Notamacropus eugenii: one gene and its partners. The protein of the gene in region 2 interacts with the protein of the main gene of each other region in a pairwise test. Links are inferred from orthologs where the notes say so. Each region holds a gene or a part of one and is shown on either strand. Other genes may lie near its edges.

Region 1 (7,432 bases), on a different chromosome or scaffold from region 2:
ATAAAACCGCTTCTCCCCCACCACAGGACCAAATTGCATGGGGCACACTGTACTGGGAGAAGGGGGTACGGAGGGATGCAGACTGACCCAGTTACCGCCTCAGGTGATTTCAACGAACTGAAGGTACCTTGCGAAAGTAAGCAGAAGGCACAAGCAGATGTCTTAGCAACCCTCTCTTTCTCCTTCTTGGAAGGATGGGACGTAGGAGAGGTTCCATCACCCCTTTTCCAAAAAGGAGGTTTGGTTGGGGTTTATTTCTATGAGTTAGTCAAGTGTATCTCCATGTTCTGCAAGCCCCCACCTCAGCTGCACTGCTCCCCCTCGTCCGCTTTGTATGGGGAGGAGACAGAGCAAGAGGGGAGGGAGGGTGGAGGCTGGGCCAATCCCCCCTCCCCCTTTTGCAGTTGAGCACTGTAATGTGGAAAGCAATCCCCTAACTAATAAAAACAGACACATATTAAAGCTATTTAAAAAGATAATAACGCGGCCCTCTGGAGATTGCTGACTGTGCTAGCATAGAAATACCAGAGCTATATAGTAATGAGAGCCATGGGCTGGCGGTCAGGATGCAGTTATTAATACTACAATCATTTCTTTTCTCCCTCTTTCAGTGGAGGCTGTAACATACAGCCGGCTTGCTAAGGAGTCCAGCAGGGAGAACGAACGCAGAGACATTGAGAGCGGACAAAAGCGCAGAAATCCCCACAGTCCACGCTTACCCACTCTCAGCACCTTCCCGAGGCACAATGCAAACCAGAAGCTCGAGTTTGGGAAGGTCTCTGGGGTGAGGAGAGGAAAATCCTTCTGCCTCTAAATGCACGTCTGCACCCGACCACCCCCGATCTCCTCGCCCTCGCCCCTCCTCATCCCGATACCCGAAACCCCTTTCTTTCCAGCACCCAGGTCAAACAAAGAGCTTGGAAGCATTTTCCTAACAACCCCAGCACCAAAATAGGAACCGCACCTCAGGGGACAACAGAAGGGTGAGCAGCGAGGGTTAATGTTCCCTTGCTACAAGTGTGTGTGTGTGTGTGTGTGTGTGTGTGTGTGTGTATGTGCGCGCGCGCGCGTGTTTGTGCAAGCGCGTGCGTGTGTGTGTGCGCGCGTGCGAGTGAGCGAGAGTGTGCCCGCAGCTATCACAACAGCCAACAGCCACTCCAGTCTTTTGGGCATCTCCCTGAAACAGCTGCCGGCGCGATCTCCAAGCTGATGTTGAGAACCCCTTTCTTGGACCTCCTTACTGTTAACTGTTGGAGCAATGTCTCCTTCTCTATACCTCTCCCCACACCCTTTTCGCAGTATGTAACCCTTTACTAGACTTACTCTGGCCGTGAAGTCTACCCACTTACCTCTACCAACCTCCCGCCAGGACCTTTGAAACGCCTCCCGCAATCTACTACCGATCTAGTGGCCATCCCCCGAGAGAAATACACGCTGTCCCAGCGCCAGAGCAGTAGCTGGCGCCGGGTGATCGCGGGCAGCCTAAGGCTGAACCTGCTTGCCCTCTCCTCCTCGGGACTCTGAGCCTAGGAGGGAGCCCGGCTGCTCTCACGCCTTCGCGCTGTGCCTGGAAGCAGGCACCGCGAGGAAACTGACCACTGCAGCAGCCCCTCTCCAAAGGGAGGGAAGGGGCCCAGGGAAGAGAAGGAGGTAGGGTACTCACATTGCAGGCTCCTGGAGGAACTATCCATGAGTCTCCCCAAGGCTCCAGACGTTCGGCTGCAAATGGTTATTCCTTAAAGTGTGTGTGTTCCAGTGTCCGCAGTAGAGTGGGAGTGGAGAATCTTTTTTTTCTCCTTTTCTTAGAGAGGAAAGGAGGAAAAGGAAAGGGAATTCCAGGAAGGTCCAAGGCTAGACCATGATGCCGATGCCCTTCAGGTGGACGGCTGGATGTGTTCCCATGGGAAGCCGTAGAGAGGGGAAGCCCGGGCAGCGACTAGCAGCAGGCTGGGGGTGGGAGTAGAGCGGTAACTCTTCTAGCCTGTGCCAAGCCTGGCCGGCCACCCAATCACCAGCAGCGGCAGAAGCAGTGATAACGGCACCTCCTTCCCCACCCCCCAGGAGGTTCCACAGACAATAAATCCTGGTGGGAAAAGGCAAGGCGAGGAGGCAAGTCGAACGGTGCCCCCCGACTCCTAGCCTCTGTGTGCCTGTGCCAGGCGGGGCGGGGCTGGGGGGGGGGGGAGATCCCCAAGGAGCGCTGGGTGTGCAGCGAACGCCGAAGCGAGAAGGGGGTTAAAAGAGCCGGTGGCAGTCTCAATAGCTGAGGGTGGCCAGAAGCCGCTGGGGGATCGGGGCAGCTGGCCCGGGAGGCGGGGGCCTCGCCCGCCTTGCCCACCTCGCCTCGCCTCAGTACGGCGGCTTGGCTCACAGGTGCCGGGGTGGGCAGGCGGCGAGGCAGGGCATGTGGCTGGCAGCCCCGCTCGTTCCCTGGCTTACTCGACCCCCTCCCCCCTCGTCCTGTTGGCTTTCTTCCTCCTCCTTTTCCTCCTCCTGCTGGTGCTCCCCACCCCCTGGTAGGAAGGACTACACCGGCTGCAGCAACGGCTTCAAAGTGTGAAAAATGTCAAGGAGATTTTCTCCCCCCTCCCGGACCAGCGAGGGGTGGAGACTGAGCCCTTACGCGCCCCGCGCCCCTCCCCTCTGAGCTAGCCTCCGCCCCCTCCTCGGCTAAAAACCCCGCGGGGAAAGCGGAGGATGCCCAGGCTAGAGCCCATCGGCTGCTGCCGAGGCCCGGGGCTTCCAGGGGAGGAGGGTGCCCCGGAGCCTGGCCCGCTGGGGCTCGCTGGTTCGGGTGCACGGCGGCGGCAGAGACTGCCTGCTGCTCTGAGGGCCGGCCCAAGTCTCCCTCCGAGCCCGAGTCCCTGTCCGCCGCCGTGGCGCTGGGGTCCCCGCCGCCCCGCGCCTTCCCCTGGAGCAGCCGGTCCCGGTGCAAAGAGCTCCCCGCCAGCCTCCGCGTGCGTGCTAGGAGAGCCGCCCCCACAGATTCCGTGACTGCTGGAGCCGCGCTGAGTGCAGCTCGGGGCTCGGAGCTCCTGCAGAGGCTGCTGCTGCTGCTGCTCCTGCTGCTGCTGCTGCTGCTGGGGCTGAGGCTGCTGCTGCTGGGGCTGGGGCTGCGGTTGGGGCTGGGACTGGGATTGGGGCTGCTGCTGCTGCTGCTGCCGCCGTGGCCGCGGCTTTTTCAGCAGGGGCAGAGTGTCTCCTCTCCCCGGCTTCTGCTTCCCCAGGACCCCGCCCTCCCAGGCTACCAAGAAGAGGGGCGGGGGGGGGGGGGGGCGTCTCTTGTCCAGATGCAGTCGGTATAACACCCACCGTTTAGGACTTAGCGCCCCATCTTCCAAGCCCACCCTGGGAGTGGCCACTTCCTAGCGACAAAGGACTTGCAGCATTAGGATTTACCCATCCATCTCCTATTCCCCTTATCACGGTAGCACACAAAGGCACCTTTTCTCTCCTGTGGGCCACTGAGTTGGCTGTCAAACTCTTGGAAGTGTCTGCGGGCCAAGTAGCACTGAAAATAGCCCCCTCCCTCCACAGCAACCACAAGAGCTTGGGGAGGGAGGAGTGACGGAAAGTGACAATTTGAAATGGGTCTTATTCTGCACACAGCTTTAGATCCCCCACATTTGATGGATTTCTTTCTCTGTCTTTTTAGTGACTGGTGTGAGATAGACACGTTCATATACGTACAATCATACATACATATATACATACACACATACATACATACCCAGAAATTTTCTTTGGGAAATACTGCTGAGTGGTCCGTGCGAGGAGAGGTTAAGCTTTTACTTTTCTCTTCATGTTAAGCAAGCTAAAGGGCGACATTTCATCTTTCAAACTACCTTCAAGTGGAGTGGTGTATGAGTCGATGCAGGCGTGCAGTGCATGCTCCCCAGTGCAGTGCACACAACATCCCAACGCAAGGCACGTTCTCCCAATTGTGGGTCTGGGAGAATAAGCCCTTCAAGGTCAAAAATCATCCTCTCTCTGGGTAGGAACTGTCTGGAAAGGAATTCGGGAGATGGGTAGCTAATCGGATGGGTAACCAGCCAGGGAAGGTGGATTTTGCCGGGAACAGCTGGCTGATGACTGAGAGAAACTGCTGTTTCATTCTACTGAGGAAGGGAAGGGAGAGAAGCTGGACTGGGGAGAATCGGGGAAAGCCTCATCATCACCAAAGCAGACTTTGTAAGTGCTGGAAAATGCACTGATTGCAGAGTAACTGAACTGTCAGGAGGAGGAAATACATGATTTCAGGGGACAAATTACTGCATTTTCCAAAGTCGGGCTTCCTTCTCTTTCCCTAGTAGGGTCACGTCCGGTTTTCCTACACCAGTGGATAATCCAGGGTGGGATGTGAAAACGAGAACTGGGAAAACAAGACGAGCAAACTAAAAACTAGTTTGAAAAACTTGCTCAATGGTGTTGGTCCTTAGCTCAGCCTTTAAAGCCTTCACCCGGCTATCCTTCAAACACCATTCCTCCCACCCCTGCAAATAGGCCTCCGGCTGGTTGGACCCACGATGAGGTATTGCATGTCCTTCCTACACGCTTGCTTGCTGCAGTCCGGCATGTCTGGCATGAAGCCTGGAATTAGCCTGGTGCTCCGTGAATACAGTGAGGACTTAATTAATGCTTAGTAAATTGAATTGAATTGTTTTCTGTGGGCCATTCCTCTCTATCCCCTGGGAACTCCTGGCTCCTTTCAAGGTGTATTTTAGGGGCCTCCTCCTGAAGGAGGCCCTTCCTTATTCACCTGTTGTTAGTCATCCTCTCTCACCCCAAGAATTGCTTTAAATCCATTTTGTGTACACTTTCTATTTCCCATAGTGGACTGTAATCTCCTTGAGGATAGGGATCCTTTCATTTAAGTTTCTCTGTCCATAGCTTATAGTAGAGTATCTGGCTGCACTACAGTACCACAGAGTTTCCCACACAACTTTCACATAGTGCTTCACACCAAGTGCACTTTTACCAAATCTGGTAGGATTGCCTTCCCTCACCAACATTGTCTCTCTATTGTCTTCTCCTAAAAATGAACACATTTCCGCATTGGATGCCTAGAGGATCCTGGGAAATGAGTATTTACCTACAAGTGAGCATCAGAGTGGGGAATTTAGAATGCCTTCTGGAGCCTTTCCCCCTTTGTCTTTTCCTGAGCTCTAAGGGAGTTGCGGGAATAATATCATGGCCTTCTTTTCTCCTTCTCTAATTCTGACTCCTGGACCTTAGACACATGAGTCAGCAAAGAACTCAATGGATAGAGTTTGGGAAAGCATGTATGGCTACTGTGAGCTCTTAGGTATTTTGACATGTGATTTCATTATAAAACAATGCAAAAGAAGAAAAATATTCTTCTTCAAGATGGGCCCTGAGCATACTGCCCCGATTTTGTACAAGATTTATGAATCTCTTATAGAATTTGTCCATCTCGACTTTTTGAACAATGTCCCATATTATAATATTTCAATAGTCTCATAGAATTGGATTATTGAAATGCAAATGGAAATTCTGTCTTTAAACTAACTCTGGGCTGTCCTACACCAATTCTTCCAAAGTACATATGATTGTTTTAAAATTGGCCACAAATGAATATGAAAATACCCTTAGGGTCATGCAAAGTCCAAGAGCCAAGAAAAAAATCCACAATTTAAGAACTCGGATCAAGGAAGTTTTGACAATCATTCATCAGATTAAGTCTGGGAAACTTGATGCAGCATTGAAGGATAGCCCAAGTATACTCAAAAAATCAAGAATTCATACAGCATACTAATAAATACCCCCATTTCTTTAAAGTCTCCAAGATCTGCTTCCAATACAGGCAAAATTATTACTGTGGTATAATGATTTACCATTGGAAATGGTACTCCTCTCCCAAAATACATCCTTGACCTTCCTGCCAGAATGCTCGAAAATCCACCATTAGGGATTCATTCACGTTGTCAGAGATTCTTTTTCAATATTCCAGTTAAAGTGGAAATTCTTTTTTACTAATGACAAGGTGTATGACCTTGGTTGAATCAGTTAATGTTGTTGAGCCTTAGTTTTTTTGCTGGTGAAATGAGGGGATCGGACTATTTGACCTTTGAGTTTCCTTCACCTTGAGAACTGTGATTCTAGTAAGGAGGACATGTACTGAACTCTAAAGAAAAGATAGGCAATGCCAATAATAATACCATACACACACACATGCATGCACACACATACATACACCTACACATATATATGTATATATATATATATACATGCATGCATTTACCTCTGTATATACATGCATAGTCACACAAACTTACTAGTTCTGTGACCTCAGGTAAGCCATGATCTCTCCCGAAGGACTTTAAGCACTTTATGGTTTATAGCCTTGTGAGAAAGATAATAAGATAATGGCTTACTCAAGGTCACAAAGCTAGTAAAGTGCAGAACCAGGATTTGAAGTCGGGCCCTCTGAAATTCATTCGTTCTGTGCCTACGGCATGCATACTACTGTGCTAAGCAAAGGGAGATAGATAAACAGACAGACAGACAGATAGATATAGATGGGTAGGTAGATGATAGGATAGACATATGTAGATAGATATGTAAACATGTATAGATAGGTAGATAAACGATAGGATAGTTTTATATATATATATATATATATATATATATATATATATATATATATACATACATAGATATGGACTGATAGATGAATGGATGGATAGATGATAGGATGGGGAAATATACATAGATACATAGATATGGATGAATGGATGGATGGATGCACAGATAGATGATAGGATAGATAGATTTACGTAGATAAATATGGATGAGTAGATGACTGTTTGTCTAGATGATAGTATGTAATATATATATATAGATGGATAGATAGATAGATATGGATGGATAAATAGATGTATGGATAGATAGATAAAATAGGGCCTACCCAAGGGAGTTTACAATCTAAAAAGATAAAACACAAACACATGACAGATTCAATGCACACTATTAGGAAAAGTATCAGAGAATTACAAAACAAAATGCTATGTCAGGTCATGACATTGGCAATAGGAATAACTAGGAAAATCAGGGATTCATAGAAGAGCTATCTTTGATTTTTCTCTTTCCAGTTTTAATCTTATTTTTATTGACACTTTTTGTTTTTACGTCCACTTTATTTAAGGATTTATCTCCCCCTTTGGGCAGTTCCAGTGGTTCGAAAATGTTTCATAACATTCCACCTAAAGTTTCCTCACTGCAGCTTCAATGACTGTTCCTAGATCTTCCCTGTAAGCCCAAGTAGAAGAATTCTAGTCCATATGAAAATTACCTGTCAAATATATTTGATGACTTTGCTCCCCCTCACCCTATTTTTCTCTTTTCAAATCTGAATGATTTGAATATAGTGATATCTCGATCATCCTCCCTTTGATTCTCTCAGCTTCTCAAT
Region 2 (8,269 bases):
GGAGAGGTGGGAAGAAGGCAAACAGCAGGACCCTGTTTCCCAGGTAATGAGCATTTCCCTCTCCGCTTTCTTTGGGGTCTTGGAATGTGGGGGATTTACTGACTCCTCTCTGCCAGCCTTCTGCATTGGCAAGGAGGGAGGGTGGATTCCCCTCAGAAGCGGGGCTGCCACGGCTGCTTTGGCCTCTGCAGCCCACCTGCGCTCCTCTGAGTACAGGTCAGCAAGAGTGCAGCCTGCGGCCACCCCCGTTTAACCAGACTAGCACAAAGATCAATGGAAAACGTGTGTTAGGAGAAAGGGCACCGTCAGTAAGAACCGCGCACATGTTATATTCTAGAAGCAGATCTTTGATTCTCACTTCCCTGCATTACTACATGTCATCTCCAGACATGGCTTGAACAGGTCAAAGGACTGGGGGAGGAGGGGAGGCTAGAGTGGGGCTTTTCAGGCTGCTATCCCCTGGATCATGGCTGTAACAAAGCCTGTGCAGTGTTAGCAAAGGTCTGCTATAGAACCTGGGTCCCAGGTTCCCTTCCTGATGCCTTCACCCCAACATCAACCTCCATAGAAGTTCCTCCGACCTTCTGCCCTGGAGATCTCTGGGCTCATCTCTCCTTCCAAACTCTTAACTTTGCAAACTACAGTTTGTAAGGTGTATTCTTACAAATAACCTAAGTACTTTCCTGCCTGGTTGGGTCAGAAGCTGTGTCCATAGAAGTGCAACGAAAGGGTACATACTAGAAGCCAGTTGTAAGGCCTCTTTGGAAATCTGATGAGTGGTAAGTGCAGAGCCTGACTGAGGATATGAGAACCCTAATGGACTCGAGCGCCCTCTCTCTGCAGGTGTTCTCTTCAGCTCCAGTTCAGTGGAACTCTGGGGCTCAGTTTCTGTGACTCCTGGTTATCAGTTGGAATTCTAGGAAGCTGAGCAGATGTCTCTTACGCCTCCTCAAAACATGCACCCACAATACATGTAGTCATGAACCGCACTGATGACTTGGTTTCTCTCCTTACTGGGTTAGTCAGTATTCCTATGCCTGCTGTACATTTCTGAAAGGAGTGTGGTATGCACCGCAGTGCTCTGAAGCTTTCTGGGAGGGCTCTCTTGGGGTTGTGCTGTTCCCTGCCTGAGCACTAGAAGATGAACCCCACTACCTCCTGGACTGAATTCTCATTTTCTCTGTCCTCATACCCTTCCATGCACACATTTCACGCAGCAGCACCATGGATTCCACCAATCCTGCCACCCAAAAGATGTCAACGTGTACATCTATCTTCCCCCACACCTACCCCCTTCTCCTTCCAAAACTTTGCTACCCATTGACTTTCTGTCCACATCCTTAACAGGAAGACAGGCAACACCAACCATCCCCAGAGTGATACACTAGTTTCCCAGGGCTGGCCCGGCCCAACTTACAATGGAAGAGACTTCAGAGTACAGTGAAAAGGAAAGTACAGGGGTTAGGTTATTTCTCTATTCAAACATTAATAATGTGACAAAATATATCACAGAAAATGCCAAGCAACAGAAAGTAGTACCATAATGAAAGGGCACACATTCACTCGTTTTGAACAAGAGGTGTGATCTGAGGGGAAAGAATTATGAGATGGTTGGAAAGGGGGCTTCTTTGTGTTACCAGATGCCATCACTTGCACCTAAATTGTAGCCTTCAGCCATCTGACTTCATGTTACTCCGGGTTCCAAGTCTTGTTTTTTCATGTATAGCTCACAAGGGATGGTGGTAATTCATCATCACTGGCTCTCAGAATCACAAAATGTGTTAAAGCTAAAAGGGAACTTCAATTGTCTAGTCTGGCTGTGTTAGGAGACTGAGGTCTGAAGAGGTTTGGTAACCTATTCAAGGTCACTCAGACGAGCTAATGGTAGCATTAGGGCTGTAACTTGGGTCCCCTGTGTTCTTTCTGTATTAGTTCCTAGGACTAGATTTTCCCCAGAAAATCTCCGGCCAAAAATACTTTCTCATTCAACAAACTCCTAGCTTTTTGACAAAGGTAAAAATAAATCAAACATCTGTTTCTCTTCAAACACTATCTTTAGGCAAGAATTTTCACTGTTCCTCTCCTAAGCTTTCTAAATGTTTCAGTTCAGCAGACTTTATTAAGCACCATAAACGTGCAGAGCATTGTGCTAAGTGGTTGTAGGTCAGATGAGGAATATACAAAATCCAGATAATGCAGGGTCCCTCCCTGCACATACAGAATCTAGTCTGGGGTATGACAGATACATAACAGCAGCAGTCATAGGAAAAAGCAACCCTGTGCATCATTAGAGAGCTGCAGCCTGGTCTGGGAGTTCCCAGGAAAGGATGTGAGGAATGGTGGTTACCACCTGAGACTGGGGGGCTGGCAGAGGACTTGGGGAGGCTTTCTGTAGAAGGTGACATTTCATTAGATTATGAAGAACACATAGGAATTCAACAGGTCTGTGGGAGTGGGGAGAGTATGACAAACAAGGAACTGTGAAAACAAAGGTCCCCAGACAGTCAAGTATAAGATACAGCAAACAGTCAGTTTGACTGGAGCATGGTATATGTAGAGGGGAATAATATGAGGTTAAGCTAGAAAAGGTAGAGTGATACCTTGGATTACAGACAAGAAGGAAGCTTTGAACAATTCTGAATAGGAGGGCACAACTAGATTAGTGCATAATGCAGACATCTGGCAGTAGGGGGAAAAGATGGCTTGAAGGACGAGAGCAGAGGCAGAAAGACCTATTAACATTTAAGCAGGTAATCATGAAGGCCTAAGCTAGGTTAGGAATGCTGGAACTGGAGAAGATGCAGGAGATGCTACAGAAAAGAGTCAATTGATAATGGTTGGCCTGTGAGAGGTGTGGAAGAGGTAAAAAAGAAAAAATAAAAGATGGTGACAAAACAGTCCTCAGAAGAGAGAATGGTTTTGGGGTTTTTTTGGAGCATGTGGAATGAGTTTGTAGTTGAGGATAGCTATGTGGAGCTCAGGAGAATGGTCAGGGCTTGAAACAGATCTGGGATTCATTTATGTAAGGACCACATTGGAGAGAAGGGATGTGCAGAGAGAGGCAGTAGGGAGAAAAGGACTGAGAAATACCTTCCTTAAAGGGTCAGGAAGAAGAGAGAGATGGAGCCTTCCAATTGAAATTCTATGATTCTAAGCCATTAGAGAAAAGAATCAGAACACTGTGATGTCTAAGAAGCAAGGGAAGAGAAAGTATCCAGTAGGGACTGGACAGTTACCTGGAAGTAAAGGTATATGAGTACTGTCATGAGGCAATAGAGTTCTAAGTGTGTTCCCTTTATTAGAAAGGTTGGCACTTGCCAATAAAATGGATCCTCAATAGCCAAAGACCTCAAGTTGGGGACAGGCGGCTCTTTTATAGTGATTAACAAGATGACAATAAAATCTCGACCAACACAGGCATGCCTTCTGATGGTCTAGATGTTTCATGGAGGAGGTGGGATGAATGTTTACTCAGCTCCCCCCCATTACATCACTGGAAAATGAGCTCAATTCTCAAGTGATGACGTCAGTCTGTAGGCAGTGGGAGTTGCTACGGCAGTTGTGAACGATGAGCCTGACCTTTACCATGCAAGTTTCTCCAGAATGTGGGGGAAAGGGGGAGGGAAGGTCAAGTTACCAGAGTGGAGGTACAAGTCTTCAAACTAAACCAAAGTGACCTGAGATTACCTGAGTACACTTGCAAGGTGTAAGGGATTTAGACTCACTGGGAAAGAAAGTATTAAATCTATGCTGGCTTAGTTAAGTTTTAACAAATAGAATTAAAAGTTAATTTTCAATTTCACAGGGCTAAGAAAGGTCATTAGGTTTTGGCATTAAGTCACACCTTTGAGAGGCCACTTGCAGTTGAGTTGTGTAGGACATAAAAATGTAAGGGGTTGTGGAGAATGGTTCGTATAGAAACATCAGATATAAACAACTTTTTGTTGAAGATTGGTAGTGAACCAAAAGAATGCCTCTATGTAAGAATTAAGTAAAGAAACTAACTGATAATGGCACAGGATGAAAAGACTGTATTATAATGAATTATAAGTGTGCTTTATAATCTGGATTAGTGGAAGGAGTTGCCCAAAGAAGTAAAATCATAGATCCACCAGAATATTGGCAGTGAAAGGAAAGAAATAAATGGGGTAATTGTTGGATTTGCTAGAAAAGTGAAGGAAAGATTTGGAGGGGGCGACTAGAAAGATTTGACCATGTTTATAGTCTTGTGAGAATGAAGCAGTGGAGATAAAGAGGGTGTGTGTGTGTGTTTTGGGGCAAGGGAGTTGGTTCAATTACTGGAACAAGGTCCTGGAAGGAGCTGGGATAGAGAAATACAAGAAATGGGTGAAAGGGGTCAAGGGCACAACTAAAAAGACCAGCCTTTGCAAGTAGCTGGGGATGCAATTTCTCTGAAGTAGGATATACTGATTCCATTCAACAAATCAGAGCCCTTTGGATGGCCTCCGTCTTCCCATTGAAATAGGAGACTGTTGCCTGCTTGGAAAAGGTCTGATAGTTTGAGAAAAAGTTTTACAATGTTCACAATGGGGTATATAATGTTAAGAAGTAGTAAAATGAACTGATGAGTTTTTCCTCTGCCCTCAGCCCTTGCCTTCCATTTTACTGGAGATAATAATGAACTGAAGTTGTCTGAAGGCTCTGAATCCACGATTCTAACAGCAGCAGATAAGAGGAAATTAAAATCGGCTGAATGTATACTTGCATCCTCACCCGTGCCCTCACATCCCATAACACTGTATGCCTCCAGTTCCAGCATGACAGTATGCCCCCAACCTCTCTATTTTACGATCTTGCGCCTGATTCGGGACCACCCATCTGAACACAACACCTTCCCTTACCTCTTTTCCAGATAGAAAACATTTTTCTAACAAATAAAAAATAGAATTAAAATGGAATCTCAAACACCTGCATAAGCAGATGTGTTCTGGGTCTGGGAGAGGGGATTTTGTTAAAAAGTGGGCAAATAGGCATCCCCTTTGTCAGATGGGGCAGCACCCTTCTACCAAAACAGCTGACTTTTCAAAGTCCCATCAGAACCTTGCTCCTGGTTGGTAAACCTGTGCAAGGTGAGGGTGTAATGGAGTGGGGAAAGGTAGCAGAAGTTTAAGGGTCATAGTAGGACACTTACCCTAGTGGTTTTCCAGGATCTTTCAGGCAGTGGAAAAGCCAATAGTGGAAAATTTGGAGTCCTTTTTTACATATATCAACAGCTGCCACTAGTCACAGGAACCACCTTGGGAAAAGAGCTCAGTTTAATTCTTCTTTAAAGCAACCCCCAAATCTTGAGTTAGTGAGGGGAAGGGTTCCCTGAGGGTTACATCCTTCTGTGCCATTGGTCATCTTACAGGCAGGCGTGAAACAGGGAAGATAAGAAACGATATAGAGAAGCTATAAAAGCCTTTCTGCCCTGTCTGGAATGGGACAGCAAAGAGTAGATTAATAATAAAAGAAGAAAATGAGCTTTCCCCCACCACCACCACCACCTTAAAGGACAAAAACCTTCAAGTCTCCTCCCCCATCCATCCTGGTGGTGGTACAGTCTGACTGACTCTAGCTTTGGGGCCAGAATCTTCCTACCCCTGGAAGGCCCTGGGGCCTGCCCTAGTTACATCATAATGAATGAGCTGTGATGTCACTACAGCTTGTCCCCGCTTCCCACCAAGGTTTTTTAAGTAAAGTCTGATATGCTGAAGGATAAACCCACCATGAGGAGCAGAGCCTCAGAGCGAGGTGAGTGGGGACAGCCTCATGACGCCCGATCCTCCTAGGCTCTCCACCACACTCCTGCTTTTCTCCCCTCGCCTCCCCCCACACTGCTCAGTTCCTCCCAGCTTCATCTTTTGTGGTCCCAGGCCACTATTCTAAAAATTACAAGTAGCTTCTCCAGCTTCCACTAGCTTTGTCCCTTCACGCAATCAGAGAGAGCATACTCGTGGCCAATAGAATCTGACCAAACTCATGTGCAAAGTGCATGAGCAAAAAAAAAAAAAAACTGAACAAACCTGAGAGAACTGGTCAAGTTGAGGGAGGGAAAAATCCGCTTTGCTTCCATACTCATTTCTAGCCATAGGAAAAGTGGTTTTGTTCCCTTTACTGCTTCAGTCAATCCAGTCTTTCTTGTGCTCCATTTTCTCTCTTCCCTCCCATGGGAAATAATTTTTAAAAGAATAGAGGGAGTCTCTGTGCTCCCTTCCCCCTTGTGGACTCTTCCTGAATTCAAATCTAGCCTCAGACATTAGCTGCGTCACCCTGAGCAAGTTACTTAGCTGTTAGCCTTGGTTTCCTCATCTGTAAAATGAGCCAGAGACTGAAATGGCAAACTACTCCAGTTTCTTTGCCAAGAAAACCCCAAGTGGAGTCAAGGAGAGGCAGAAGATGGGAGCAACAAGGCACTTGCCATCCCACCCTCCCTTGGTCTTTCCAGAGCTAGCTCTTCCACCTCTCCTGAGCCACAAAAACAAGATGCAATAGTCTGCCCAGGGCTAAGTAGCTGGGGGAAATCCCCACAATCTGTTTCCTTTCCACCCTCTATTCTGGTTTTAGAGCCACAGTGGCATGTCTTTGCTGGTCAATCCAGGTTTGTTTCATTTAGGTCCTATCCTCTAGACTACAAATTTAAAGCTGGAATGGAACTAGAAAGGTCATCCAGTCCAACCCTTTCATTTTCTTACAGATAAGGAAACTGAGGCCCAGAGGGATTTGCTCAAGGTCTTCTGACTACAAATCCAGTGGCCCTTTCCACAGAGACTCTAACTTTGACCAAGCCTGCACTGCATGGCGTGGACAAATGTCTCTGGCTTCCCTCCTAACTGAAAGTGATGTCATCCAGGGCTCTAACCTGAGTGGAAAGGTTCTGGGCCTTTACTGTGGATCTGTTTGGTGAAGTTTTGTCCCCAAATGATTAACATTACCAAATTTTAGTTTGAAGGATACCTACACAATATATACCGACTGGTGGGCAGGAGGGGGAGCAGGGATCATGATTACATGTAGTTGTATTTCAAAATTCTGAAAGAAGACTCCTGGCCAAAAACAGTCCTGACGGACCCCATCACAGTCTTGCGCAGTTCCCTACAGTCAGGCTATCTGATAACCAAAAGGACTCTAGACCCTGAAGCAGACCAGGAGAGCCTAAAATGGAAGCTGGAGTTCTCCCTTGTGAGGGAAGAATTGAGGCCCCTGTATTGAGCAAAAAACATTTCATCTCCCTCAGGCTATTCCCTTCCCTTTAAAACATAATGACCCTTACTAACTACCTAGCAAGGTGGTTACAAGAAGAATTCCATAGGAATAAGAATTGAGTGTACTGTGAAGAGGACCCAAATGGCAAGAAATTAAAAACTGCACAAGAAAAGGTGTTATGTAGTGGAGGGCCAAGGGGACGGCAGAGCCAAGTCAACCAGATGGGTTTCTTAAGCCCCTGCTGCCTGGCACTGCGCTGCCCACTGGAGGTAGAAACCCAAGCAGAAAGCAGTGCCCGCTCCCAAGGAGCTCACAGTCCGACAGGGCTTGGGAAGGGGGTGCGAGGAGAACAAGCACGAAGATGGGGTGCTTGGGAGAAGCTGGGATGATCAGAGGAAAAAGGAGCCAGAAAGGCTTCCTGGAGATGAGCTCCGAGTTGGGGCGGTGTCTGAGAAGATGAACGGAGAGCCCTGCGGGTGACACGGCGTGCCCTCGAGGATCTAGAGCAGAGGCTGCCAGACGTTTTTAAGAGAACATTTACTTAGTGCCCACCTGGAGACCTACTTTATTTAGCCCTTTGCCTTGGTTTAACTTCCATCATTTTTTCTAAACTGATGCAGCTTCAATCTAGTAGCTGGCTGTAGCTTTGGGAGGCTTTTCCCACACTGAAGTGCTGCCGACAGCAGGCCCGCAGCCCGGCACCGCACAGCGCGGCACCGCACGGACCCCCGCCAGCTTACCCCCGCAGTGACGTTAAGCCGCCGCTCGGCCGGGAAACGAGTCCGAGCACGTGTCTGGGACGCCTCCCCCGCCTCCCGGACGGCCCGGGCCCCGCCCACGGAAGGGCCCCGCCCACGGAAGGCCCCGCCGGCGCGCTCCCAGGCTCCTACCTGGTCGGGGCAGAGGCCTGGCCGCTAGGTGGCCGGAGCCAGGGCTCCGCCCCGGCCGCCCACGCGCGCTTAGTGTGACCCTGGCCCAGTCACTGCGGGCCTCACCTTCCTCCTCCGTCAGCGAGCGGCACAAGGGAAGGGCAGAAGCACTTCAGGGTCCGGAACGACTGAAC
Region 3 (7,261 bases), on a different chromosome or scaffold from region 2:
CCCATGTGTTCTGATGCCCAAGTTTAGTATTTGTTCTATCAAACTCTCTAGTTCTGCCATAGTCCTCCATCCCAAAGCAGCCTGATTTGGTCATTAATGACTGGTGTCTAATCTCCTGGATGCTGCTTGTTCATTTGTGTATCTCCCTCGGTATTTAGCACAATGCATTGTACATTGTCAAGAAGTATGTTAATAAACGTTTGTTAAATTGTGAACAGAACAGGTTATGAATTTATAATGCCTACAGGAAAGATCTGATAAACAGCTAACAAAGGGCATCCAGGGATTTGACCCATGGCCAGAATAATTGTCTCTTACCTTCAGACCTCTTCCCTACAGGTCAGTCTGTCGCCTGAAGACTTGCAGGCCCTAGGAAGTGCCATTAGCATGGTCACTCAGCATGGTGGCACGACCCTCACCATCCCTAGTCCTGAAGACCTTGCCACCTCCAGCACACACACTGTCACCATGGTCAGCGCCGACGGCACCGAGACACAGCCAGTATGACCAAGGGTTTTTGTTCTCTCTCTGTCCTTGTCAGCGGAGGCATTCAGCCATAGCTGGAGTTACTCCACACCTCTTAATGCTCTAAGGATGTTCTTTCCCCTTCAAGAGAGACTCCTTAAGTCGATATCAATGTCATCTTAAAGACTGACAGATCTGGAGTCAGGAGACTCGTAGTTCCAGTCACCTGCCTTTCCTCTGTGGGCTTCGTTTTTGTACTCTATAAAATGCGGCTGTGGGAGGTGGGACTCAGTGAGCTCCAAGGTTCTTTAATGTTCTAAAATTCTGTGCTTTGGAACTCATGGGCCAGGTTAGATTGGGTAAAGGCCAGTCTCATTCAGCTCTGAACCGCTTCTGAATCCTGATAGTCTTCTCCATTTTTTTCCTTGGTCTCTATGAGATCCTTATTCCAGGATGCCTAGAAATGTCCTGGGAGAACAACAACAAAAAACAAACTTTTCTGTGTTTCAGGTTACCATCATAACCTCCGGGGCCATGGTGACTGAAGATTCAGCGGTAGCATCCCTTCATCACCAGCAGGTGGCACTGTTGGCCACGGCCAATGGGACTCACATTGCAGTGCAGGTATGTAGGCTGTAGGGAAGCCGGAGGAGGAGCAGGATATTACGGTAATCCAGAGAGAAAACAAATGTGAAATGGAATTTTAGAAAAAACCTATTTCAAGGGAACTACTTCTGTGACTTCTCTCAGACCAAAGTCTCTGCTGCTGGGCTCATGGACAGAGTACCAAAGGTGATCTACCCATTCCCCCTCTCTGTGGTACTGCTCATCATCACTCTTTGTATTTCTGATAAGCTTGACCTCCCAGAGAACACTGGTACGACCTGTTTACAGAGAACTTTACTTACCTTATTTTATTTGCTCATCCAGAAAGCTCTGTGAGATGATGAATGCACATTTTATTATTCCCATTTTACAAATGTGGTGACTGAGGCTCAGAACAGAGACATTTTTTGAACCTAAGGTTTGGTATCAGAAGTACCAGGACCACAGCCCAGGCTTTCTAACTCCAAAGTCAGTATGCCATCCATTGTGCCACAGCTGCTGCTGCTTCTCAGTCTGGCAGGGTAAGGTGCTGTTGTGTAAGAAGTACACTGGGCAACACCAGGAGACCTCAGTCTGCCAGTAATTCACTGAATTACAGATTCATGACATCTCAGGGTGGGAAGAGACTTCAAAGGCCAACTGGTCTAACTGACGCTGGACAGAGTAGGTAGCTGTGTCACCTTGTCAATGTCTACTCTCTGAGTTTTGTTTGTAATCTCATCAAGGAGGAGAAAGGGAGAGATTAGATCATCTCTAAGATCCTGTTTAGCTCTAGAGGTCCATGCTGCTATGATTTTGACTTCTTTTCCCCTAGGAAATGACCCAAGCCCATTAACCCTCCACATCTCCTTGACAGCGTTTATTCTCTTATGTATCAACCAATCAACAAGCATTAGTTGAGTTTATTGAGTACTTGAGGTACAACTAGAATCATGGTAGATTTTGGAGGATACAAAAAAACCTGCTTCTTGCCTACAAAGTGTCACATTCTCTTTCTCTTCTTCTCACCCCATTTGTAGCTGGAGGAGCAGCAGACTTTGGAAGAAGCCATTAGCATGGCTACTGCAGCCATGCAGCAGGGTGCTGTGACCCTAGAGACATCTATATCAGAGAGTGGCTGTTGAGACCCGAGAGCAAGCTGGGTCCCACACAGTGGCAAAGAAGATGCCTTGTGGTACAGGCGTCACTCTCTACAAGCGTCCAGGCTGTGGATGAACCACGGAAGGTGGCCACGTAGAGGTCGCTGAGCCAGAGAAAGCAGCGTTGAGAGCAGCATAGTTGGGGGAAAGGGAATGGTTTTGCCATCAGTAAGGGTGGCAGCCAAAATGGGGGAGTTCTAGATATCCTCAGAAGGTGAGAAGGACCCATTGGGTCACTAGACTGCCCTGGGGCTCCCACTGAAGCCTGCTGGGTGCTCTTCTTCCTCTTGAGAACACCCTATTGCCCCTTACCCCTTTACTTAGGACAGTGAGTAGAGGTCAAGGATGCCGTGGGGGCTGGCCTTTTGCCCTCAGGTAGTTGCTACCCACTATGTGGGAGGCCCCAGCAGAGGCAGGGGAGGGGGGAGCACCTGGCTCCACCAGAGGATATTCTGGAGCCCCTCAAGCCACATACAGCAATAACTATGGCAGAGGGTGGCCAAGATGTCCAGGCAAATGGCAAGAATTTTCTGAGGGGGCTATGGCAGACAGGAGGAAAGAAGCAGTCTCCTTCAGCCTTCTCTCAGCCATTCATACTGTGGCTGGAGCAGAGTGGTCCCTGCACTTAGATTGCTGGGTTTGGGATTTGTGTGTGTGTGGTTTTTGTTTGTTTTTTAATTCCATTTTTATAATTTTTTTTTCTGCTAAGGGTGATGGTGGCGAGTGGGTGGATGCTTATTTAATAAAAGTCCCAAATTTCTGTATGAGTCGGTCATTGCCCCTTTGTAATAGAAACCAGCAGCAAGACACTGATCTCAGTAGCTCTGAGCCCCCACTTGGAGCCAAGGGAGCCCTGTGTTTCTCTAGCTGTGACTAGGATGAAGTGCCAGAGGTAGGATGATGGTAAGGAGATAAGATTTGGCTTTTTGTGGTGTGGGGTTATATAGATCACATCATACTGTCCAGGCAGATCCATTTAAGTCCCATCTTCTCAATCCCTCCGCCCTTCTCAAGAATGCCAGGTTTCTTTGCTACCTACAGCTTCCAGACTCCAGGAGAATTTCAGCCCCATGTTCATTTCTCAGCAGAGAGCTTTCACTGTGAGACTTCCCTGTTGTGCAGCGTGGCCTGGACCTAGTTGGCAATGCCCTGTGACCACAGATAAGCCTTTTATATGGTGTCATGGAGGTAGCGTTGAACTGGCTATCCAACAAGATCACCCAGGTCTGGGTGACTCTGGACAAATTATTTAATGCTTCCTGAAGCTGAGCTTCTTCATTCATCTATAAAATGGTGACAACCATACTTAGAGTCCATTCCTCCTTGGGTTTGTATGTGTGGCTAGAAATTACCCCAGAAAAATACTATAGGGATGAATGACCCTCTTCCTCCACAACAAATGATAATTAAACAAATTGAGCTTTGCTCTTGGGGAGCCCTACCCTTTCTCCATCTTGTTGGAAGCATCTGGAGATCAATGCCCCTGATTCCCCTCTAGAGTCTCACTCCCCTAAAGCTGGATTAGATGTCTCTCTCATATGGATTAGGGAGGACCTTCTGAGTTAAGATCTAATGAGGTTTGGGAGGGACCATGCCATAAATTCCCTGGAGAAATGCTGTAGGGAGTTGGGTTGGGGGGGAGGCTGGGAAAAGGGAAAGGGTTTCAATAATTTCATATGAAGAAAAGGGAGGAGCAAAGCATTGCCTGTTTTACTAATTTCCCCATTTGCTTCTACCCCACCCCTACTTGAGAGGAGGTGAGAGCTGTAGAGTGGTGGCACTAACTTCAGAGGCTTACCAATGTAACTACTGAGGATAAGCATCTTCCACCCCTTCCTCCACCCCATCACCAAAAAGTCTCCATGAACCAGAGTGGTTCACTTAGTAGAGTGATCTTAGGAACCACCCCCACCAGCTCTGTAGGCCAAAGGAGACCCTGGTGAGATCTGTGCTTTCAGGAGATCGGCAAGTAAATAAGGCCGGTTCCTATCTTGGATACCCACCCCCCTCTCCCCTTCTGAGGAGGAACCTAGAGTACTTCAGAGCAGGCAGGTGGAGCTAGTGCTCTGTAGTATGGCCCCTCTGCGGTCTCCAAAGCCGTTTGCATTTCCTGAAACCGGATCTCCTGGGTGTCAGAGCAACCTCCGGGTCCCAGGCTTCTCGGCCATGGCCCTCCGTAAGGAGCTGCTCAAATCTATCTGGTACGCTTTCACAGCCCTGGATGTGGAGAAGAGCGGCAAGGTCTCCAAGTCCCAGCTCAAGGTGAGGCAGAGGCCCCCTTGAGGGGCCCAGGGTGGGAGGAAGGGACGAGAAGCCAGGGGAGAGGAGCCTTTCACTGCCCCTACCTCTAGCAGGGCTTGCTCCTGTACTGCCCCAGGAGAGCACCATCCTGGCAGTACGGGTACCCAGAGCCCTTCCAAAGGAGCTTGGGAGCCACGACTGGAGGGACCAATATCATATCCTGGTGGGAGGCTTCTGTTCAGTGTGGGACAGCTCCAACAAACCCCCTACTACGGGCCAGGAACTAGTAGAGACATGAAGGGAGATTGTGGGACTTCATAAGAGGGTAGTGAGATCCAAACTCAGACTCAGCACACGTTCCGCCCCCCCCCCCCCCCCCACCCCGAACCCTCCTTTCGGTCATACCGGGACGCGTAGCCAGCATCTTCCTGCCCCATTTCCTCTGGCAGCTTTGAAAGGAGACTGTTAGAAAGCTCTCAGTCACTTCCTCTCAGGGCCTAGGGGCTGCATCTCCCCTGCCCCCAATCCGTGTAGATTCAGGGTAGGTCTACTACCCCCAAGGACACAGAAGAGAAGCTCCCCCAAACACCCCTCCTCCCTCCACTGGAGTATTGCCTGGCCCTCCCTGTCAGAATTCAGTTTGAAGAACTACTGCTTGAGGCCATGGTGGTAGTAGTTAGCAAGGGGTATATGCCAGTGTCTTCTTGAAAGGCAACTGCCCAGCAGAAATCTGCCACCTATGTGACTGTGGACTGCAGATTCTCCTTCCCTCTGTCCATTCCTGGAACAGGTCTGGCAAAGAGGCAAAAAGGGATGCAACTGCCCTACTAATGGGACTGTGATGGACCCAACCTGCTAACCCTTGAAAGGCTTCACGAACTTGACATCCAGGAGGGAGGCTTTTCAAATATCAGCCACTGTGCTAGGCAAAGCCCAAAATTCAATAATCCCCATGATGATGTAATATATGATAGAACAATCCCCCCAAATGAAATAATTCCTAGCCTCAAGGAATTTACAAAGTCCATTTAAGAGGTGAGAGGCACTGGGAGCTGGAGAAATCAGGGAGAGAGCCTCATGGAAGAAACAGCTCTCAAGATGAAGAAAGCTCCACGAATTTTAGGAGGCAAAGATGAGGAAGGAGTGTATTCCTTGTGCAGAGGGATGGAGATGGAGTGACATTTATTAGAATCTGCAAGAAAGCTCATTTAGTTGAACCATATAGTGCTTTGACATGTAATAAGCCTGGAAAAAATAGGGGCCAAATTGTGAAGGGTTTAAATGCCAAACAAAGAAATCTGTATTTGACCCTGGGGACAGGAGTTCTCTGAGGTTGTGGCTAAAGGGATAAAAGGTAAAAAAATTCATCATAGGATCATGGACCTAGAAGTGGCTCAGAGGTCCCCTAGTCCAACCCCATCATTTTACAGGTGAGAAAAAATGAAGCCCCGGAGAGGAATTGAGCTGTAGAATAATTGGATGAAATGAGTGTTTATGTCCCACCCAACTTCTTGCCTCCCTGAATCCCAGGGCCAATTTATGAGGAAGAGTTGGAGCCCTTGGGACTCTCACTGCTCCACTGATCCCTCAAAGGGGTTCCTGGGGACTAATTCCTGGCAGTCTGATCAGTCACTGCAAGTCTGAGCAAGTCAGCGGGCCTCCTAACCTGGTTCTCTCTTCTCCCCATCCACCCAGTGGCACAGAGCTCTAAGATTTCCTCAGGTGGCTGGGCTAGAACCACCCCCACCTCCCTGATCCAGGGAGGCAGGGAGAACCACAGCATAACTGCTTTTGTCTTGATTATCTCACAGCCCCATTCAAGCCTGCACCCACAACCCCAGTTGACTCTATCCTTAAAATCTGCCTTTAGGATTTTCAGGTGCCTCTGGCTGGCAGGACCCTTTACAGATCACCCTCAGTTAGTCCAGTAAACATTGATTAAGTACCTACTATATGCCAGACCTGGGCTAAGCACTGAGGATACAAGGAAAGGGAGGACAATCCCCACCCTCAAGTAGCTCACAATTGAACACATAATAAAAAACTGTACCCTGTATGGGCAGCATAGTGGCACAGTGGATAGAATGCCCAGCCTGGAGTCAGGAAGACCTGAGTTAGAATCCAGCCTCTGAGACTTATTAGCTATGTGACTCTGGGCAAGTCACTTAACTCAGTTTGTCTCAGTTCCCTTATCTGTAAAATGAGCTGGAGAAGGAAATGGCAAACCACTCTAGTATCTTTGCTAAGAAAACCCCAAAAAGAGCCACAAAGAGTTGGAAATAACTGAAAATGACTAAATGAACAAAAACAAACCACCCAGAATGGGGGAGTATCGAAGTCCTGGGACCTTACTTTTAGTGGAGGATTTGGGAGGAGGTCTCCTATATCTACTCTCTATCCTTCTATCACTGCCCCATAACTAGGGCAGTTTTTCCTCTTAGCCAGAACCACTGAAATTTAAGGCTAACAGACTTTCAAGGAAGGAGATTCCATAGCCTCCTGAGTAATGTCTTGGAATATCAACAGATTTCAGAAATATTTTTTCCCCTTTATTCCTGATTACCTTTTGCTACAGAAATGTGTAGTTTTGACTCCATTGCCTGAATACTAACCCCCTCTAGATTTTTAAGTCTGTTAATTCAGTGTCCCCCAACTCCACCCTTAACCCAACACTTCCATCTTGCCCCAACTCCTTTTAGCTTCTAGGTGCCATTGATTTGTCCTCCATCACCAGGGAATCCTGGAGTTTTCTCCATGTTCCCTGTGCCCCCTGTGTGCAGGGGCTTCAACCCAGCCTATGGGCCTTCCAT
Region 4 (7,500 bases), on a different chromosome or scaffold from region 2:
ACTGTAAATATTCTTGTTATTTCCAAGGCACACTTCTTTTTATAAAGATAAATCCTTTATAGACTGTCCTGAGATAAGGAATATGCAAGAATAGTATAAAGTTATGATAATGCCACCAGGCTGAGACAAAAATACATACTTATAGCATAAGAAGTTTAAATATACAGAATTCTGTGGGCCATTAATATTTTTAGTTGTTTTTTATGACAGTCACCAACATGTCTTTATTTAATAGTATATAAATTTCCAATGTAATACTCATCTATTATACTAGTAATAATCATAATAATAATAATAGTATTTATATAGTGTTTTAAAGTTTACAAACTTTCTGTTAACTCATTTCATCCCCACTAAACTCTGTGAAGCAGGAGTTATTATTACCCCAATTTTACAGATGTCAAGGCATAGCATGGTGGGGGTAGGTAGATCAATAAATCCATTTTCACATATTTTTCCTGCCTCATCCTTGAGATTTTAATTTCTTGATAATTTTTAGCAATTATGAATGTGCATTGTCATAATTGCATATTATGATTGGAATAAAGGGATAGGTTGGGGCGAAAATCTAACTAAAACTGAATCTGGAAACTTTCCTGAACCTCGAAGACAAAGCAGTTTAAAAATGTCCCCTTCTTTTTTTAATCATGTTTCCCCACTTATTGGTTTTGTTCCTTAAGAGCAACAGTGAAAAGTGTTTTAAAAATATTGTTTAAAAAAAATCCATCTCTATTACTTCCTGGAGCAGAAGAACCTGGAAAAACCAGAAATCTATAAAAATACTCTAGAAGTGGGCAGGTATAAGAAGAGTTCCTAGACTGTTTGTAGAGTTTTGGAGATACTTGGGATCTCACCAAGTTGCACAGCTAAGCAAAAAGGATAATAATAGCTAGCATTTATATAGAGATGCAAGATTTGTAAAATACTTTACAAATATTATCTCATTTTACTTTTGCAACAACTCTGGGCGTTAGATACTATTGTCATCCCTATTTTACAGATGAGGAAACAAAGACAGACAAAAGTTAAGTGACTTGTCCAAGGTTCCACAGCTAGCAAGTATCTGAGGCTGGTTTTGAACTTGGGTCCATCACAAAAATAATAAACAGTAAGTAAATTCACTGAAGCCAGAAATTTTATGAGAAGTGAAGACTCAACTAAAATCAAGTACTCCTTAGCCATTTGTATTTCACAATCCAGTCTTCGACGTGACAGTATATCAACAGATACTTTCTTACCCCATCCATGTGGATTCGGGCATTGGGAGTCAGTCGGTATGGACTGGGCTGCGAACCTCTGGGATCTGTCCTGGTTTTCCTGCTTGGGTCCTGAGAGGTCAGTATGCCAGGTCTTCGAATGGAGCCCATTCTCACCATGCTCTGACCCGATCGGACGCCATCCAGGAGACGCACCAAGAGCAAGTTGGCTGGGAGCTCCTCAATACCACAGAAGACAAGGGTTCTGCATTCTGGGCACCTCAGTTCCTTGCGTGCTTTGAATATCCTCTGTAGACATGGTTTACAAAAGGTGTGCTGGCAGGGGAGGACTTTGGCTGTGACATCGAGCTTTTCAAAACACACGGGACACTCCAGAAGATCAAGTAACGCCAAATCATCCATCTTATTTTAAAACTCCAATCCTGGCCTGAATGGACAGAGTCCACATGGTAAGGTGACCTGAGACAAGAGTGGGGGATGGGGGAGCAGGTCAGATCAGTCCTCAGGAGAACACCAGCTGGGTCCTGGATTTCAGAGAACCTCGATGTCTGAAGAAAAAGAGAGGACAAAAAATGTGACTGCTTTGAAATGTATCCCACCTACAATGTGAAGCAGTGCCTCATAAGGCAATTTGCAAGCGTGTACTTTGTTCCCGGCATCTAAGTTTCAAGTGAGTCGTGATTTAGTAATAGCAGGTACAGCATTGCCTCTCAAGCCTGCAGCAAGAATCTGAGGGGGGCTTTCAGTTGGGTGACAAGTAACCGGAGTTTTAGAGGGAAAGCCAAAATCCAAGGTGAATAATTCATATTGAAGTGTCTATGCTAATTCCTACCTGTAGATGGAAGCTAGAGGTGGGTTGGGAAGTACAAACCTGCCTCCGTCTCAGTTCTGAAAACTTTTAACTCACAGCAGAATCAAAACCTCTTGGAGGATATAGATCTATGACCTTCTTTCCTCATTTTTCTAGGCATGTGTTTGATAATAAGAGGCAGCTTGCTTTAGCAGATAGTGGGCCAATCTTAGTCAGGCAGTCCTGCCTTGGATACAAACTCACTTTGTGCCCATGGACACATGGCATTCTATTGGGGTAGGGTAGGGGAAGCATGCAAATAAGTACAAAATAATTTGGAGAGAAGTGCGTTATTAACTGAGGGATCAGGAAAGGCCTCTTGTAAAACTAAATTACTGAGGAATTGCCAGTAAAGGCTGTTTCCACATCCGGAGTCCCTCACGATTCTGCCCTTCGGATCGTCTCCCCCGCCCCCCAAAAGTTAATTACAAAGCAATATAGTATGCAGTTGTAAGGTTAGCATCTTTTAAATACGTTAAATACGTTTCTTGAATGAGATTTCTTAGCAATGCATGGGAAACCTTTCACCTAGCAACCTGCTTCAATTACAGTTTTACCCCACACTGCAAACTGGTCACTTTAAGCCTCCCTCTGCTTACTTAGCACGATTATCTAAGACAACCGCAGAAGGCAATATTCCTCCCACAACGGGAAGTAACTGAGCCTGTTTAGCTACTTTGACAACACTTGTTTTAACTGAAACAGAAAGGAATTCTGGACTGTTGGCCACAACTTGCAAAAAGCAAGCCGAGTCCAGAGTTCACAGGTGTGATTTCGTGTGTGAGTGTGTGTGTGTGTGTGTGTGTGTGTGTGTGTGTGTGTGTGTCTTGAAAGTCAAAATCCCAAGCCTCAGAAATCCCGTCCTTGCTCCTGATGGGCGTAATGGCCCTCCCCAACTCGCTAGGGCTAAGTCTCTCTGAGAAGTCCGACGCTTGTCACGCAGACTAAGCCAGGCTTCAGCGCTGGTGCCTACTGAGTAATTCTTGGGAAGGAGGCGAAGAAAGGGTGGCGGTCAGCCCCCTAGCAGCCAGAGAGACCTTAAATGCAGAGTTGGCTCTGGGCACTCCCACTGCTCCCCCGCTCCCCTGCTTCCCTCAAAGATGCCAGGCTCTGGCTCGCTCCCGTACGCAGTCAGCTCCAGCCGGAGCCTGCACTAACCTCACGCCGCTGACCTTTGCCGAAGAAGCTCAGCCCCAGTGTCTCGTGTCTTCTCTCCGAGCTGCAGCCGCCTTGAAAACTTTAACAACTATGTATGTTACTCATTTGGATGGCTCGGCTTACTCATCCAGCTCTGTTAACGCTTTCGCCGCCGGGCTGCAGACGCTCGGCAGGTTTCGGGAGGAGGAAGCACACTCCCTGCGGCGCAGCCCATTGTTTTTTTGCCGCCCTGCTTATTTCTGGGAAAAGGCGAGATTGGGGAACAAGATTAGGAGGGCGTCAATAACAGCGAACCCCCGGCACAAAGCACGTGTATGGTTTGCACGTTCACCTTTTCCACTCGCTAGTCTAAGAAGTTGAAACATGTCTCTGTCATGATCAAAGTCAACATCATTCCCTTCATTTGAAACCTTGAACCCTCCTGAAGGTTTCCTCAGAATGACCCCCACCCTCCCCTAATCCCTATTTGTAATAACATAAATGCACGTCCAGGATTTGACCCATCATATAATTGCGCCAGCTGGAAGAGATCTTCCAGGTCAGCTTGCCTGATACTTTCATATCCAGATGAAAGACCCAAGAGAGGTGAAGTGACTAGTTCACGGTCCGTAGTTAATGACAACTGGAACTAGATCCAAATTGTCTTTACTTCCAGCTCAGTGCTTTTCCCATATTACACGCTCTCACAATATAACATTATAATTCTTCCATTGTTTAAAAAGTACATTAAGATAAATACATGGGAATAGACAATGGACTAGGGTGGAGTGGTTATTTTAGTTTTTCAAACTTTGCCCAATGTTGTTCTGAAAAATATCCACCCAAAAGAAAATGTATTGTAGATATGGAGTAGAACCTGAATATTTCTGAGCATAACTTTTTTTTTTTTTTTTTTTTTGGTTAACCACTTTTTGTTGTTGTTTAGTTGTGTCCAACTCTCTGTAATCCTATTTGGGGATTTTCTGGGCAAAGACACTACAGTGGTTGCATTTCCTTCTCCAGCTCATTTTACAGATGAGGAAATAGAGGCAAACAAGGTTAAGTGACTTGCATAGGATCACACCGCTATTAAGTGTCTGAGGCTGAATTTGAGCTCATGAAAACAAAGTTTCCTGATTCTAAGCCCAATGCTTTATCCGCAGTGCTACCTGGGGGTGCAGTGGATAGAGAACCAGTGCAGGAATCAGGAGGACCTGAGTTCAAATCTCACCTCTCACACTTGACACTCACTAACTGTGTGACCTTGGAAAAGTCACTTAACTCACTGCCTCAAGGCAGTGTCACTGCCTCATCTTGGGTCATTTCCAGTAATCCTGATGAACATCTGGTCACTTGATTCAGATGGCTCTGGAGGAGAAGTGAGGTTGGTGACCTGCACAGCCCTCCCTCACTCAAAACAAAGTCAAGTGCAAGTCATGTCATCGTTTCTCTGATGGCATGGTCTTCTTCGGCAATGAAGAACGAACACACACACCTAGCTGTCTTAACCACTTTACTTCATAGCTAACCAATTTTGAGAGATATTTTTCTGTTCAATTTTATAGATTCCTATAGCGTTTTTATACATATATCTCCTTTTTAAGCTCCTGCTTTGCCCTTATCACCTTTTCCAAATAATTGCTGGCCTTGGCTTGTTGTCCTTTGGAAAGCCACGTGAAGTTACTGGCTTTTACCTCCCTTCTACTCTGTTCCTTACTCCATAAATTTATAACCTGTTCCTTCTCCCCAACTCCCGATCTATCTGGCAGCTTCCTTATCCAAACAAATTTTTTGAAAGATGCATGTGAACATTGTTTTCTGTTTTAATGGAAAATGTAACTCATTCTTGGGGGAGGAGGTAGGACCAGACCAGTGATTTCATTAGGGCAAGGAAGGTCCCTGTGTGAAAACTCCCTCTTATAGTCTTAGAGAGTTGTCTGAAGGCATTGACAGGTTAAATGATTTGTCCCTGAATCACAGAGCTAGAATGTACCACAGTCAAGACTTGCCATGTCTTCCTGGCTCCAAGGCTCTATCTCCTGTGCCACATTACTTTTCATATGCAAGCATTTATCTTTTTTATTGGAGCAGGAGAACTTCCTCTTTTGGGTGAAGAATTTGCTCTACTGTTGTTGATCAACACCTTCTTTATAGTTTATGGTCTTACAAAGTGACCTGGTTATTCAAGTGACTTATCCAGGGTCATATTAGTCAGAGACAGGACATATAGTCAGTAAACATTTATTAAGTAGCTACTTTGTGCCAGGCTGAGTGGCTGAGTGGGTAGAGTGCTGGCCCTGAAGTCATGAAGACTCCTCAAGTTTAAATGTGACCTCAGACACTTACTAGCTGTGTGACCCTGGGCAAGTGGGGAGCTGAAGAAGGAAATGGCAAACCACTCCAGTATCTTTGCCAAGAAAACCTCAAATGGGGTCACAAAGAGTCCGACCCAACTGAATTACAACAACAGTATACCAGACACTGTGCTAAGCAGAAACATATGTATAGATACACATTTTCACATACATATGCAAACCTTTGTATTATACTATTTATATGCAAAATGTGAGACTTCTCGCTTCTCTTCTTCCTCATCTCCCTCTGTTCCATCCTTGTCATTTTTAGCAGTACTTTTCCTGTACAAGATTATGTTTTTATGCTTTCACTGAAGAACTCAAAAGATAAAATAATTCATAAGATGCTTATTAATTATCATCATTAGCAATATTAATACCCCTTATTGATAAGGAACTTAATATTGCCAGTGCTGGAATTCTTTGCATTTTAAAAGAAGAAACCTGGTGAAAGCAATACTGTACTCAAAGGAATTAATTGCCATTGGTGGAACTGCAGACATCACTGCCAGAGCAGTGAACATCATTCAGGAGAAGCAGTGGGTCTTCCCAACGGTCCCTATAATATACCATATAGGTGACCATCTGGCATACTTTGGGGATGACTAATCCTGACTGAAACCTTGGGAGGGAGTTCTGTTGGTAGCTGCTCCTTTATCTTCAGAGGCAGGAGGATAGTATTAAATCAGGATTTCCCCAGTCTTCTTAAATGCTTATTTGGCAGCAGTTCAGATGAATATCTAAAGAATATAAACAAACCAACAAATAAAACCCCACAAAGTGAACTTCTCCAGACTCTAGGCTCCTACTTCTTTTTTCCCTCCACTATACATGTAGCCTGTTGTCAGCAGTTGTGTTTGTAAAGATATCGTTGGCTATATGTAGTATACTTAAATATATATGTATATGTATATATACATATATACATATATATAAAACACTTGTACCTGCTGTTTATATTTGCAAATATACCTCACTTTATGTAACAGTCAAGTTCCTGAAAAGTTATAGTCCAATCTGAATTTTAGCAAATTTTTTTTAAATCAGACCAAACTTTATGTTCATTCCTTGATTGGTCTTTCATTGATAGTTGCTTTCTAATACTTCAACTTCCCTCCCCACAGCTCTGAGCAGCCAATAGGTACTCAGCTATCATCACTTAAGTCCATGATGATCATACAATGACAGAATCTTAGAATCAAAGAACCTCAGAGCTTAGAAGGGGCCTCAAGTCATGTAGTCAATCAATCAATAAACATTGGTTATTTTCATCACTCTTCATGATCCCATGGACTATATAGCATGCCAGGCCATTCTATTCTCAACTGTTTTTCGAAGTCTGTCAGGGTTCATGTTTGTTGCTTCTATGACACTATCTATCCATCTCATCCTTTGCTGTCCCCTTTTCCTTCTATCTTCAAGCTTTCCCACCATCAGGGTCTTTTGCAATGGATCCTGTCTTCTCATTACATGGCCAAAGTATTTAAACTTCAACATTTGAACTTCCAGTGAATTGTCTCAATTAATTTCTTTAAGTATTGACCGATTTGATGTCCTTGATGTCTAAAAGACTCTCAAAAGTCTTCTCCAGAACTATAATTGGAAAGCATAAATTTTGCATCATTCAACTTTCCTTACAATCCAACTCTCACTGCCATACAGTGCTACTGGAAAAACCATAGCCTTAACACTACTGACCTTTGTCAACAACATAAGGTAATGTCTCTGCTTTTTAGTATGCTGTCATCTATATCTATCTACCTGTCTATCTACCTATCTATCTATCTATCTATCTATCTATCTATCTGAATACATACATACATACATATATATATACATATATATATATATATATATGAATAAAAAATCTGACTCTGCTTCCATTTCTTCTACCTCTATTTGTCAGGAAGTAGTGAAACCAGTTGTGAAGATCTTAGTTTTT

What was found.
Region 1: the proteins of HOMEZ (region 2) and LRRC7 interact in a two-hybrid assay, tested with the Homo sapiens proteins (2 studies listed by BioGRID). The two-hybrid records come from large-scale screens. The link is inferred for Notamacropus eugenii from reciprocal best matches to the Homo sapiens genes HOMEZ and LRRC7.
Region 3: the proteins of HOMEZ (region 2) and DEF6 interact in binary tests that used the Homo sapiens proteins (3 or more experiments, as listed by UniProt). The two-hybrid records come from large-scale screens. The link is inferred for Notamacropus eugenii from reciprocal best matches to the Homo sapiens genes HOMEZ and DEF6.
Region 4: the proteins of HOMEZ (region 2) and SH3RF2 interact in a two-hybrid assay, tested with the Homo sapiens proteins (2 studies listed by BioGRID). The two-hybrid records come from large-scale screens. The link is inferred for Notamacropus eugenii from reciprocal best matches to the Homo sapiens genes HOMEZ and SH3RF2.

The regions. Positions count from the first base shown.
Region 1 is NC_092873.1:530,276,190-530,283,621, reverse strand, and holds the start of LRRC7 (leucine-rich repeat-containing protein 7), read right to left. Parts: upstream 3,049-7,432; 5' UTR 1,664-3,048; intron 1-1,663.
Region 2 is NC_092878.1:9,849,392-9,857,660, forward strand, and holds the start of HOMEZ (homeobox and leucine zipper protein Homez), read left to right. Parts: upstream 1-5,253; 5' UTR 5,254-5,708; coding exon 5,709-5,754; intron 5,755-8,269. UniProt on the Homo sapiens protein: May function as a transcriptional regulator.
Region 3 is NC_092873.1:92,281,578-92,288,838, forward strand, and holds the start of DEF6 (differentially expressed in FDCP 6 homolog), read left to right. Parts: upstream 1-4,209; 5' UTR 4,210-4,283; coding exon 4,284-4,472; intron 4,473-7,261. Other genes in the region: ZNF76 (zinc finger protein 76), read left to right, coding at 340-501, 976-1,089, 2,091-2,195.
Region 4 is NC_092872.1:374,990,039-374,997,538, reverse strand, and holds the start of SH3RF2 (E3 ubiquitin-protein ligase SH3RF2), read right to left. Parts: upstream 3,318-7,500; 5' UTR 3,226-3,317; intron 1,766-3,225; 5' UTR 1,620-1,765; coding exon 1,239-1,619; intron 1-1,238. UniProt on the Homo sapiens protein: Has E3 ubiquitin-protein ligase activity. Acts as an anti-apoptotic regulator of the JNK pathway by ubiquitinating and promoting the degradation of SH3RF1, a scaffold protein that is required for pro-apoptotic JNK activation.